Linked DNA regions of Oreochromis niloticus. The protein of the gene in region 2 interacts with the protein of the main gene of each other region in a pairwise test. Links are inferred from orthologs where the notes say so. Each region holds a gene or a part of one and is shown on either strand. Other genes may lie near its edges.

Evidence for each region.
Region 1: the proteins of cep72 (region 2) and pin4 interact in binary tests that used the Homo sapiens proteins (3 or more experiments, as listed by UniProt). The two-hybrid records come from large-scale screens. The link is inferred for Oreochromis niloticus from reciprocal best matches to the Homo sapiens genes CEP72 and PIN4.

What each region holds. Positions count from the first base shown.
Region 1 is NC_031966.2:29,508,935-29,516,177, forward strand, and holds the start of pin4 (peptidyl-prolyl cis-trans isomerase NIMA-interacting 4), read right to left. Parts: upstream 3,011-7,243; 5' UTR 2,862-3,010; coding exon 2,825-2,861; intron 2,652-2,824; coding exon 2,584-2,651; intron 1,537-2,583; coding exon 1,417-1,536; intron 1-1,416. Other genes in the region: nek12 (NIMA-related kinase 12), read left to right, coding at 3,505-4,603, 7,207-7,243.
Region 2 is NC_031976.2:18,928,768-18,936,321, forward strand, and holds the start of cep72 (centrosomal protein of 72 kDa), read right to left. Parts: upstream 3,024-7,554; 5' UTR 2,984-3,023; coding exon 2,908-2,983; exon of another isoform or gene 2,841-2,907; intron 2,670-2,840; coding exon 2,542-2,669; intron 2,061-2,541; coding exon 1,868-2,060; intron 1,787-1,867; coding exon 1,678-1,786; intron 798-1,677; coding exon 646-797; intron 534-645; coding exon 475-533; intron 395-474; coding exon 352-394; intron 1-351. Other genes in the region: si:ch211-257p13.3 (kinesin-like protein KIFC3), read left to right, coding at 7,032-7,130, 7,296-7,392, 7,536-7,554. UniProt on the Homo sapiens protein: Involved in the recruitment of key centrosomal proteins to the centrosome.

The sequences.
Region 1 (7,243 bases), on a different chromosome or scaffold from region 2:
CACAGGGTCCCCGGGGAAAATTATAAACGTAAAATAATAAAATAAATATTCTTCTGTAGCAATAACAAAGTATAACATAAATTATTCTGTAGCAATTACACAAGAATATCCAGTAATGTCCCTGCCTACAATTAAACACATTCACTTACCATCTGCTGTGGCAAATGGCTGCAAGGTTTTGACCACAAACTAGTCACTGCTCGGTGACATGCGGGCCTGAAAAGAGACGCTACCGGTAGACTGCAGCGACAACTGCCAGCGAGCGCCAGCCAGACTCTGTCTGTCTGTCTCATCATGGTCACCTAAATGCACAATGGCAGGTTTTGTAATAAAGCAGATCGCGCTAACATAATATGCACTGTTAGTTGATTATTTACCTGCCGCATTAACGGGAGATGACGTGCAAACGTTACCGCTGCTGCTGCTGGGTTGAGATTCACGAGTCCGGAGCGGAATTAAAGACATTCATTTAAATTCATCGCGTGTTTTGTGAGCAAATGCTTTTGCATATTCGTAGTGTTTCCTCCCTTAAATGAAATATCTACTTTGCAAGTATTGCAAGTTGCCCTGTTGTCATCCATTCTCGTAAAGTATAAACAAACTTTTAAGCGTTTGAGCCGCTTAGGCGCCGTGTTTCCTGCCAGGTACGCTCCGACGCTCCGCAACGTGGTGACGTCATTCGGGGTGACTGGAATCGATAAGGGAATCGTTTGCAAAAATGGCAAACGATTCCAAGGAATTGAAACAGTGGGAACCGGTTCTCAACAAGAACCGGTTTTCGATACCCATCCCTAATGCTGATGCTGTACTGAAGAGGCAAACTGATATTTTGACAAACAAAAATAAAAAAATTTTTTAAAAGGGGGTGTGAAGCAAATGCTTGTTTGCAGCAACTCTTCACATATTTCTGTGGTGACCTGAGTAATAGCCTAATCTGGACTGGAGTTTCCCAGCAGCTCAAAATACATCGGTGTAGATGTTGTGGTGGGATAGTCAGCCGTTGAAACTCATTATCTGTGATGCTAAACATTACACATCCTATAAAACAGTCAGGTTTCCCCTCACGGGACTTTCTGACACACAGAAAGATAAACAGCAGTGTAATAAAGCAATCTGTAAACATTTCTATTAGTTTGGATTTTGTTTGCTCTAATATAATCCAAATGTCAATTACCAAATGGTTAAGAGAAAGGACTAAAATGGATAGATTTCTGCCAGAGCCAAGAAAAACTCTCAACAATGACCTCATTTAGGCCACGTACTGTGTAATACGATAACTAAGGAATCATATGACAAATTTTCCATGGTTACGTTACTTCTGACTAGGATGATTTCAGTTAAGCATTATAAACAAACTGAGACTGTCAATAAAGGGAAACTAACACCGCACATCTGATTACAAGTGCAAGCGCTTACTCCTTGTCTGGCTTTGTCTTCACTGTACTGTGTAGCTACTTCACTGAAACGAACTCCAGCCTTCAGTTTCTCCATTGCTTCCATGCATTTTCCATGTTTTTCACACAGGATATGCCGGACCTGCAGAAAAAAAACAAAAACAGATGATTCTGCTGGACTTGTCCTACTCTTGTCTGATATAGGATTCTAGCTGCTCGATAGCCCTGAAGCTTTTTTGTTTTTCATTTCACGATGTGTTGAATGTTTTGCAGTTCGCGGTAGTATGCAGTTTAGCATTCTCTTGCAAGCCTTTCCCTCGAAAACACATTGTCTAGATGGAAGCACACTTTGGTCTAAAAACCTGTATATATCTTGCAGCATTGATGGTGCCTTTCCAGATGTGCGAGCTCCCAAGGAGTGCACTGTTGTACCCTCAAACCATCAGAGAAGCTAGCGTTAGAGACAAGTGATGATATAACAAGCTGGATGGTCGCTCTTTGTCTTTAGTTCAGCATCCATGTTTTCCAAAAATTAAAAAAAAATATTCATCGCCTGAACCCAGAACAGTTTTCCACTTTCCCTTGGTCAATTTTAAATGAGCGAGGGGGTTTCTGGATCATGTTCACATGACTTCTTCTTTGCATGACAGAGCCAGTGATTTCTGGTAGAGTTCCTGAGACCATTCAGTCATTTTCATGACAGAATCATGCCTTTTTTTTAACGTTATGCCCCTTGAGGGCTCAAAGATCGCGGCCCTTGTGCACAGAGATTTCTCCACATTCTCTGAATCTTTTGATATTATCTATTGGTACTAAATTTTGATATTTAGTTAAGTTTATGAAGTGCTTTTTCACAGAATATTTTTTAACAGAAAACCTTTTTTAAACAAAAAAGTTTAACAACAGTCTCTCTGAATGTACCTAAATAAGTCGGGAATGATATACTGTGCAAATGATAATTATTAAAAAGACAAGAAAAGGCAACAATTGTTCAGACATTTCTGTTAAAGCAGAAAGGTTTGGATTATTCTATTATTAAAATAGCATCGTACGGGATGCATGACACTGCACGCGACATGGACTCGTTCATCTGTGCTCTCCTTTCAACTCCCCCAAAGTCACATTTTGTTGGGAAGGGAATGAAATCTGTCATTGTTGCAGTTTAGCTTTGCCTTCAATGTAACGTTACCTTGACAGCGGTCCCTCCCTTTGGGCCTTTTTCTTTCTTGTCGGTGTCTGCACTCCCTGAAGCAGCTCCTACATAGTGACAAGATAGGAGATGAACACACCACAGCACCCGTTAAACCCATTAAAACTGCACTGTAGTAGTAACCGTTGTGATAAAGGCGCTTCTGGGATCACATGGGAAAGTTATTAGCTGACTTTAATTATAGAATACAAATACAATTAGTAAGTTATAGGACACTAACCTTTACCACCCTTTCCCCCTTTTCCCTTTGGTGGCATTTCAGGCTAACGTGCAATTATAACTCAACAATAATCAATAAGAAATAACAGTTATAGATGAAACCCCTGCTATGTTGTGATTAGCATGCGCATAAACCTGCGCAGAGAGCCCAAACGCTTCTTCTTCTTTCGCCACTCGTTGGTAGATCAAAGATAATTGATACAATATACCGCCATCTACTGTACAGAACCACAAACGCGGTTCATACCTGTACACGCTAATGAGATGTTTCTTCCTTTTCTTATGTGACGGCACTCAATGTTATCTCCTTTGCTGCCAACATAAAGGCTAGGGTTAGGGTTTAATATTTTGATTTTCGACAATAAATTCATATTCTCGAATCACAGTTTAAAATAGTTTTAAAATTAAAAGGGTTTTTTTTTTTTTAAGTTTGTGTATGGCAGAGGTAATGAAATAGGCGCTAAATAAAGAAAACAGTGTACATACATTAGTGTGTCCATTTAGAAACCACACTAATGTTTGGACTCGCATGTGTAACTCTCACACGCCGCTGACCCACCCCCATACCCATTCTCACAGCGTCATGGGTCACTATGGAAACGGCAGTGAACACAAACGGCTCGTGACGAGCGGGCTGCAGTCTGGGTGTTCGCCTCTGTTTTTTGTTTCTATGACACAAATATGGAGAAGTACGAGATGGTCTTGCGGTTGGGCAGCGGAGGAGCGGCAGACGTGTTTCTCATGAGACACGTGGAACGGAAGTGCCTGTACGCGGTGAAGAGGATAAAGGCGGAGACCACGAAGAGGGCAAAAACGCAGAGGGCCATTCTCCAGGAAGCAGAAATTATCAAAAGGCTGGAGCATCCTCACATTGTGAAATGCAGCGAGGCCTTTGTGAACTCCGACGATGGGTTCGTTTACATTGTGATGAGCTACTGCGATGGAGGGACTTTGGATGACAGAGTAAAGGAGAGGAAACCAGGGGAGTTCTTCACAGAGCACACTGTGATGGGCTGGTTTGTCCAGGTCGCTATGGCTGTAAATTACATACACACAGCTAAAATACTTCACAGGGACATCAAACCCTCTAATGTGCTGCTGACAAAGCAAGGTGTGGTAAAGTTAGGGGATTTTGGCATATCCAGAATAATGACTAACACAGCCGATATGGCTTCCACATGTGTTGGGACACCCAGCTACCTAAGTCCCGAGCTTTGCCAGGACATCCCGTACAGCTGCAAGTCCGACATCTGGGCTCTTGGTTGTCTCCTGTATGAGCTCTGTGCTCTCAGGCCTGCTTTTGCAGCCACAAATCTCCTGAGTCTGTTCAATAAGATCACCAAAGGAGAGTACCACCCGGTGCCTGACTTGTTCTCAGATAGTATTTCCTCATTAATCCAGAGCATGCTCAACCTCAATCCGGACAACAGGCCCAGTGCTGCTTTTATACTTAGCAGTGCCTATGTGCGAGATCACCTGCAATCTATCAAAGACACAGAGACAGACTGCTGCACGCCTGTGGCTCACATTAATTTGGAAGTTCAAAAAGAAGACATCAACACAACACTTCAACCCTGTTTTGCCAGTCAGTCCTACTCTTGGGAAGAGAAAGAACAAAGTATGGAGGTCAGTTTCTCCTCTGCCGATGTAGAGGAGGAAGATGAACAGAACCAATGCCACTATCCTGAGGATTTTGATGATGATGGAAGCTTGTCTTCTCTGGAGGGACAAAGTAAACAGTCTGGGTTGGCAATGAGGAGCAATTCTGCTGAGTCCATTGGTAATGCATCCCTCCAATGTCCATAAGTATTCAGACATTGAGCATATGACATTTAAAAAACAACAACATTGAAACACCACAGTGGATTTTATATCCAGCAATCATGATGTGACCGACAGGCCAATTTTAGGTTTAAATCAGAGTTTAACAAAAAACATTAACTCTTTAGGAATTAGAAACATTTTTATAAACTCTTCCATTTTCAGATGCTTGAAAGTAACTGGAAAAATCACCGATGAGTACTTTAATAGCCCAGTGAGGCACCTTTGTGTTATTCTATGACAAATCAATCACGTAAAAGATTCATAAGCTGTCATTAGGTTTTTTTAAAAAACAAAACAAAATATGTCTATGAACAAAAATTTGGGAATTGCCAGATCAGTTATGTAGTACTGTCCTAACAAGAATGAATGTACTGGCCAGCTCAGCATCAGAAAAAGCCTGAGAGACCACAAAGAAAACTAAAGTGGATGATCACACAGGTCTTTTTGAGGTTGAGAAAAACTACTTCTGTCAATGGAAAATTGTACTTAGTAGTCAGTATAAGCTTTTAATGATATAAGTTTCCATATATGCTTAGAGGTGTATAATCGATTGTGTAGTGATAGGATGTGTGATCTTTAGTAGGCTTTGTGTGCATTTCCAGGGTGTTCTGGTTTTCACACCCACACTCTGGGAGAATGGGAGAGGTCGTACCTTCTTTTATTGTTTTATGATAGGATAAACGTATCTATGCCTGTTTTAGGCTAAGTGCATTTTGTTTAGATGAACTGCTGGACTTCCAGGCCAGCAGGTTTAGGGAAGTCATATATGGGGTCATGCTTTGACCCCACACACACACACATACACACACACACACACACACACACACACACACACACACACACACACACACACTCACCTAAACATCCACATTCCAATGTAAGGAACAAACACCCACTGATGTATAAATAAAGGCCAGGGCAGTTTCAGAGCACGTGTCACAGAGCCATCACTCTCACTGTGGGTGCTCTGTGCTGCCCTTGTATACAAGTAAAACTGTGTTTCTCCTCTCTGATTCTCAACTGAAGAAGTGTTTTAGAATAAATCTCCTGACAACTTCACAACATTTAATGAAGTTAAGAATACTCTTGAGAAGGCAGGTGTATCACTGCCAAAATGATGGCTTCATGGTTGGAAACACTGCGAGTGTAAAACAAGCTGAAAACCTCTGGTTACACTCAAGGACAGGAAGGCCAGATTAGATTTGTCAAAAAAACCATCTAAACGAGTCTGCACAATTCTGTAAAAGGAATCTGTGGATCAATTACGGAGAAGGAGAGAAAAAGCTCATGATCCAAAGCATACCGCATCATCTGTCAAGCACGGCGAAGGCAGCATTATGGCATCGACACATGTGGACGCCGGTGGAAACGGGTCTCAGTGGTTTATTGATGCTGTGACTGCTAATGGAAGTAGCAGGATGAACTGTGAGGTGTTCAAATCAAACCAAAGCAAAGTGCAAAAGCAACCCAAGAGTTCAGTCACCTGATTTCAACTCAGTAGAGCAGCTTTTCAGCTAATGAAGACAAAGCTGAATGCAGAAAAACCCACAAAAAGCAGGCCTGGCAGAGCATCTCATCATCTCAATGATGATATTCACAGGTTCTGGACTTCATGTACTCATTGGCTGTATTAAAAGTAATCCTTATATTCAAAGTTAGTTTGGGCCCTTGGAAATGGTAAAATTGTGGTTAAATTCCTTGACTTAAAGTTGAATCACTTCAGTCACATATTGTTAACTGTTCATTGAGTAACTTCTATCGAATCCTAAACTTTTTTTGTTAGATCTTATAGTGAACTGATGAGCCTAATGTAAGAACTATCTGGGGCTATGGTTATCGTCTGAACACTGTAAAAACACATTTGTAACATTTATGTAGAACTTTCTTCAACTGTTTCAGCTTCTTAAATCTGAGAATTTCTGGTGGCACTTTAGGGATCACTAGTGAGTGTGTAGTTTCATGACAGCAGCTTAGTAAAGTTGGAATAACCCAGAAATTACCAAACAATGCAGTGATTATTGTTTAAGGCCAGAAAAATGTGAAATTCTATTTTTAGTTATTTAGTTAGTATTACAGATCTTTTACAGCAGCAGCATCAAAGTGCAACATATCTACCCTTATCTGTTCCAACTTAATAATGTAAGGGGTGGTACAGTGGTTAGCAGTGTGGCCACGCACCAAAAAGGTCCTTGTGACAGCTGGGATAAGAAAAATATGGATGGATAAATAATGTAGACAGTTTGGGGGAAAATGAAAACACTACAATGGGTTCTTTTTTCAGCTACTTACCAACATGTGTTAAATAGATGATTCCTCTGCTAAAGGGATAGATGAACAGAGTGATCAACTGATAAACTGAGGGAAAACCTGCTTTTCCAGTGGGACCTTCTGTTGATCTGTGATGTGTGAAAACAAAACAATCCACTACTAGTGATCAAAACAATGTGTGAAAAATGTTAACAGCTCTCCTATATCAGGTCTGTTGAGAATAAACCAACTTACAATGCCATTATTAAAACCAAACGTGTGTCATCCTTTTAATCTTGTTTTTTTTTCCAGAGATCCCTGACACTTCAGAACAAGTTGACTATCCAGA
Region 2 (7,554 bases):
GACAAGCACGTTGTGTTAAAAAAAAAAAACAAAACACACACACAGGAAAAGACTTCTGTCGCCACCTAGTGGTGATTATACACACTGTCATCAACTGAGGAAATTGCACTGGACAAACATACTGTGACTTAGTGGCCTCTTGGTGAACTGTCCTGTTTTCATCATGCTCTTAATAATGTTCACAATTACATTTTCATAACCACAACTTTGTTTTCATAATTGCTTACTGATAATGATTTCTTACCTTCAAAGAAAGCTTTATTGCTATAATAATTCTTCTGCAATCTCAATTCTAATAAGCTACTGACATACAAAAAACTGCACTCTCCTAAACTAGAAAAATAGGCTTACCATTTTTAGTGAGTGGATACCTGAGGATGGATTTAGCAGTTTCCTAAAAATAAGAACAGAGTTACTTCAAAATGAATTTTTATACTGTTAATGTTGTTTAATCTGTAGAAACAATAAAACCACCTGTTTGGGAGTTGAGCTCCTCTGTTCTCTAAAATCTTCAGAAACTTTCTCTTTGAAACCTGAAACAGCAGATGGTTTGGATTTATCAGAAGTTAAAACAAAACAAATAAACATGAATAAGTCAGGTTTGATTTTGATTTGAGTTTAACTTTTTGGAGTGTGACATCTTACCATCGGCCTCGTTGTGAAATGAGTCAGAGACAGCTTCACTTTGCTCTCCATCATTTGTGGCAACAAAGTTCAGCTCAATATCACGAGTGTCGGTCAGGACAGAAAGGCTCTTGGTTAAGCGGTCAGTTAAAGCTGGTCTGCGATCACTGCTTCTGAAAAACCACAAATGACGCAGCAAATGGTACCGCTCGAGCAACTGAGGTTGAGAATACCCATTTCACTGCATTTTCATGTGCTCCACCAGCCAGAAGATGCAACTCACTGTATTTATGTGTGTTGACATGGTCAAGGCAACTAGCTGAAGTTCAAGTGGAGGATCAGTGATCTGCATGACTTTGAAGGTGGCAAGGTTGGTGCCAGAAAGCTGGTCTGAGTATTTTTTAAATTGTTGTTCTACAACCATCTCTAAAAACTGATGCCAAAGTTTGCACAGACTCACTGGACGATAGAAGATTTTAATAACGTCGCTGGTCTGATGAGTCTCAATTTCTGCTCTGACATTTAGAAGGAAAGTCAGAATTTGGCACAAAGAACATGAAAGCGTGTTGCCCTGCCTTGTATTAATGGCTCATGCTGGTGATGGTGTAATAGTGTGGGGAAAATTTTCATCTCAATCTGGTCATGACAGTGACTTCACTGTATTGAAATGGCCTCCACAACCACCAGATCTCAATCCAATAGAACATATGTGGGATGCAGTGGAAATGAAGAGTCACATCATGGATGTGGAGCCGACAAATCTGCAGCAGCTGTGTGATGTTATCGTGTAATATTTCCCAAAATCTCTGAAGAATGTTTCCAGCACCTCGATTAATCTGTGCCATGAAGAATTAAGGCAGTTTTGAAGGCAAAAGGGGTCCAAATCAATACTGGTAAGGTGTAACTAATAAAGTGTCCATGAGTGTATAAGAGAAAAATAGTATTTTCAAAAATATATTACATATAAATCTGGTACCAGATCTTTATTTGACACTTTCATCAAACAGAATGAGCTGAAGCTCATTTACATTAAGGATTTTGTGTTCAGCATACCTTCGATCATCAATCAGATTCAAAGAGGAGCTCATCTGCTGAGGAAGAAGTTCAGAAGAGAACTGCATCAAGGCAGATTTACGCTCAGCATCTCTGACTGAACAGCTATCTGTAAATCAACGAGGAGAACTTATTATTTTAAAACCTGACATGAGATGAGCAAATTCTGGGCGACAAAACAACATCTTACCTAGCTTGCGCAGGCTGGGCATGGCATGCACCAAATAAAGGCGGTACTGTGGATTATTTTTGGCCAGAGGGTTGAGCCTGAGGTCCAACTCTTTTAACGATGGCAGCTCAAACAGTACTTTCACTTCTTCAAGAGAAGGTATGCAGTTATAGTAGAGGATCAGCCTCTGTAGCATTTTTAAATGTTGCACACCCTGAGAACAAACCAATGGAACAGCTAAGATACAGACTCTGCAAATATTAAAAACTAAAATTATTAGTCATGCAATATATTATATCACTTAATGTACAAAATATATGGTATTGGCCGATATCAGCATAAGAACATGCAGTTTTAGTGTTCAGGGTAATCAGTGGGTAATTTACACACTAGCCATAACCACAACCCCCCCTGAAACCCTATGCTGTAGCTTCCCTAGAAATGTAACTACATGTCAGGTCAACACAGACTGTATCTATTGTGATTAGCCTGTTCAATACCATTGACAACTCCCCCTCTACAGTATCATTATGAGGACTCACAAATGTCTTCAAATTCCTAGAGGGAGATTGCTCAAACTATCAAATAGTTTATACACCACTACTGCACTTAATCATTTATAATTATTAAACTCTGACTCTTTCTTCAGTAGTATAAATGGTGAATTCTATTTAAAAAAAAAATCTAAAACTAACCTCAACTGAAACGAGTGCATTACAGGAGAGATCCAGAGATTTCAGACGGATAAAGTTATTCAGACCATTTCCCAGGTGTCTGATCTTCTCCTCATATGTCCCCGGAAGGCTCAATGTCCGCACGTCGCCTATTTAAACACAATTAAAAAAGTAATAACTTTAAGATGTTGTGGTGATGTGGTCTGGAGCAGGGAGCATTTATTGTTACGCTAGCTCTCGTTAGCTTATCTACTGATGCTCTGGCCTGGCAGAGTATCTAGCCACAGTAGTTTTCAACAGCAAATGTCTATTGTCCCTACCTCACCCTTAAAGTTAGCTGCTGATTACTCCTACATAGTGTATATATTAGCTTGGATGTGAAGTTACCGAGACGCGGGTGTTTTAGCCTTAATCTTTCACGTATCCACTGCTCTGTTAGTATTGTCAAACACTTCGCCGCCATACTTTTCGAAGTTCTGCTGCCTTCAGGGCCTGAAAAATAAATACCGTCCTTCCTGCTTCACTTTTGTTACTGGAGCTTTTATACAAACCGTGAAGTATGTTCATTAAGGTCCCACTATTTCTAAAGTTGTTAGACTTCAGTTTATTGAGAGTTTGAGTGTACATATTCAAATATAACTTTGAAAATGCAGGTTAATATTTTTTAGTTCGACCAAAGATATTCAGCTAATTAATGAAGGCTTTTAGATTTTTTGAAAACAAAATTGCATTGTTTCAGATACCTGTATAAGACACGGGCTCAAAAAAGATGAGAAATAAGCAAGTAATCCGTAAAGCATTTCAAACCTGATGGTCATTTTGGTTAGCATAGTTGCAGGGTTTACGAATGGCCTTGAATGCACCATTTTGCGCCTGCGCACCGCCAAATCCTTGCTTGTCACGTGTCAAAACAAACGGTCGCTGTTCCTGCTACAATTGTGGTTCCTATCTAAAGTTTGGTGCTGATTGTTTTGTCTGTTTGTCAGTGAAATTTTTGAAATTTTGACACCGTCTCCAGTTTTAATAGCTACCTAAAATCACGCTGACTAACACTTTGTAATTTTCCTGGTGTTCTCGAGCCGTGTCTATCAGGATCAATGGCGTCCTATCTAACAGAGTGGGTCACGTCATGTTTGAACATAATTTTGACAGCCACTGCACTCTACTACTCTTACAAACTATTTAAGGTGGGTATCACTCAATGTAGTATCGGTGTGTGTACATTTATTTATTTATTTGTAGTAAATAAGTAGTTTCTGCTTTTATTAAATGATAGTAAACTTAATAGCCTTGGGTTTGGCCCTCTTTCCTCAGCTATTTCCCTTTATTTTAGTTTGTTTTTGTTTGGTTTTTTTGCATCTTACTTTTAGCAGTAAACCGTAAATCTTTCACTTGACATTTGTGAATCTATCAATCCAGCCAGTATCAAACTTGGTCATTCTCTCTCTACAGGTCCACAGAGCACCTTCAGTAGGCTTCTTTCTGCTTGGGATCTCTGCAGCAATTTCCATCTTGCATCCCTCCAGCCCCTACCTCACCTCCCTGCAGAGAGAAGCAGAATGGGCTGCTGAGGTGCTGGCTCCAGTGTTGGTCTCCTTTGATTTCCTTTGGCTCAGTCAGGACCGTAACACAGCACAGATTCTCCTCTGTGGTTCTTGCCTGCTGCTCGGACTCTCTGACTGGCTCTCAGCAGATACTCTCACAATTATGACTCGCTGTCTGGGCCTATCATCCCTCTCCTGCTGCCTGACGGTGTGTTTGTTTGCTGGTAATGCTTCAGGGGCCTTTGGGAGCATGGCCCTCAGCCTCCCCTTACTGCTGACTCATAGGTTTGGAACAAAAACTTTTGCTCCTCTGCTTTTTCCAGTTGCTACAGAAGGACTGATGAAGTGTCTTTTAAAGGGGTCACTGTTGATAGGCTGTTGGGTGTCAACTCTTGCTCTTGGCAAGTTTCTGTTGGATGTGACTGACCAAGCTGTCTATTTAAGTTCATAGAAATCTCCTAAATGTAGGTATTTTTGACGTTGACAGATGTGACTGACAAACTAGAACAATGCAGAAATCTATTGTGCCTATTAATGTGTCAATATAATAAATAATAGCTCCAGTAATAGTTTGTTCAATCTTCTCTAGGATTTGACGTTTATCTTTTTCCTGCATCATCATGCAGCATTTTTATGGCTCATAATGAGCTTTTGGGGAGTAAACGAAACATGGCAGTAAGCATGTATGCAGTAAAGACAGTGAGTCTGTGTTACTTTATTTAAGTGAAATCTATGCACACTGTCTTTTGATTACAAAAATACTTGTGTAAATTAATACCCAGTTAATATAACTGGTTAAAAAAAAATCCCATTTGAAGGTATGGGGGTTTGCTGTGGACTGGTCTCATATCTCTACCTTTTGCCTCCTTGTCTCCTCTGACCTTTGTCTACCTGCTCTGTAAGACACACACTGTTTCTGTGTGTGTGATGATGTCTTATCCTCACCTCACTAGGAAAGGAATCAAGGATGTAAGAAATAAGTTTGCGGGTGGGGGTGGGGGGTTGTTGAGTGTGATACCAAAAAGTTACACATGATTTATGAATTTGAAACATATCTTTTGAAAAACCCAAGAAACCTAAGGTGCCAGCTTAGGGTGTGGGAAGCTGAAACTTTTAATGGGATTTAAAAATGTGATTTTAACTGATTAATGGGGGCTCATAGAAAGGCATCAAGGTTTATGGTTCATCATCTTAGAGATCACATGTACTAAAGCATAGCATAGTTTTATACAGGAAATATTTATGCAAGAAATAAAATGTATCCTCCTAAATACATGTTGAGTTACATGTTACAGTTATTGTTATGGCCTTTTAGAAAAATGTCCAAACATTTAAGAAATTGATTTAATTCTGGATGAAATTAAAGATGGGAAAATTGTCCAGCATGAAAGTACTACAGTATGAATACTACAATAGTCATTTTTGTAATGCTTGTTTTTGCTTGCCTCTGCATTTCCTGGAACATACAGCCAAACCAAGAGAACATGACTGAAGATACCCTTTTTTTTTTTTAGATGTGTTGTGTTTGACTATTCTGTAGATGTCATTTGTATATTTGAACTTCCTGTATGAATTTCCTTTTTAGCATGGTTCTTCCATCTTCCGGCTCTTCTAACAGTTTTAATGTTGTGGTTTCCAGCTGCCTCAGAGTCTGGGTGATATTTGTTCTGCAGACTCAGCACGATGTCTGTTTAAGAAAAAAAAAAAATCTGCAGTGGTCGAAGGTTTTGGCCCAGCTCTTACCTCATAACGACTGTTTGATTCTTATCAGTTCATTTAAACAACGAAAAAAAACTTTCTTAGTTTGTATCAGCTGTCTTGGTACTTGAAACAACCTGGCCTGTTTAAACCACCCTTGTTTCACTGTGTCCCATGTCATTTACATTGACCTTGTGAGATATTGATATTCTTTACAGTGATTTGTAGTGGACGCTGCAGAGGCTCCCTAAAGATTTCAGGGGTGTGAGCAGCTTCCTCAGCAGTTTTTTTTTTTCTTTTTGCAGTATATGTGCAAGCATCTGTGCCTTTCTCTGGGACTGCCTATGTCAGTCTTCAGGGAAAAGATGAACACTGATGCTTTTTACCATTTTTCTGGGAAGTCCAAAATGTTATGGTAATTGTTGCCTTTTAAAGTGTTAGTTTTCTATTTTTTGACCATTTAGAAGTGTGACATTTTGTATTTAACTTGTTAAATAAATAAACATGTAAAAAAACTAGTCATAGTTATGTAACCTGACAGCTTCTTACTGTTGTGCCATCTATCATTGTTAAACCACTTCTTTAGTCCTTGAAACCATTCCGATGTTTTCAGATGCATGAAGCTGCAGCTTCTGATTTTTCCGAGCGCCTTTTATGGTCACTGTCACCCCTGACTGCGACCACTGGCATCAGACCTACAACCTCAATCTGTCTCCATGACTGCCTGTATCTGTCACTTCACCACTGCAGCGCAGCGGGAAACTGCACTGAGCATGCTCGCTGCAGATGCAGCCTGTAGCTGGAGCAAAGTGGAGAAAAGGGGAGGAGAGAGGAGAGGACGGTTGGGAAGGAGGCACAGAGGAGCTGCATGCAGCTGTGAGATGCTGTTGCAGCTCTGAGAACAAGAGCTGCACGGGAAGAGTCATCACTGGGAATACAGATGGAAGCTGAAAGTGGAATACGAACGACTGGAATGTTGGAGAGTCGACACCAAAGAGGAGAATTCATTTGATAAGGTAAAGAAGTCGAAGCGTTTTATTGTGATTGAACAGAGTGATTGTCACAATAGAAACATGTTTCACCTCTGTAGAAGTCATTGTGTATTTGCACTAGATTATGTTATTATGTAACCTTTAACAATCATTGATATTAAATGTTTTGTTAGTATAAGAGGTCAATAATAAAATTCTGCTTTTCTCCACCTTTATAAAGATGCGTGCTATTAATGAGCTCGTTTGTCATCTATAGAGACTCTTGGGCAGCGTGGAGATGTATGCCTTTTACTCCCTTTTGGTCTACATCTTCTACACTGTCTTTAAGAAGGAGGAGGAGGAAGCCTTGGAAGGGGCGTGTGGAGATTCCCCAGATGTACGTCTAGCCATATCATGTCCAGCCTCGGGGGTTCTCTATTGAAATAAATAAATGGGGGGAACATGCAGGCCATAAGCTCACTAACAAAGGATGTATACAATGCTGCTATATGCATGTCTATTTTACTGTGTTACTGACTCTTATATATGATGCTGTGCTCAGGAGCCAGGACCTGTTTCCATGGAAACAGGGAGCAGGAGGAGAGATGGCCACACCCCCAAAGTGGGAAAAAAAGCTTGTGCTCGCTTTAGTGAATCAAGTGGGTGCTCAAATAGTCTTTCGGGGCATTTTTAACCATAAAATGAAAGTATTTAGGAATAATACTTTTATTTTTGTGTACAAGAGATCAATAATTAGATACATTCCTTGACTCTATTGCTTGTGTGATGCGATGTCATTCAGGCAGCAGCAGTGACACAGA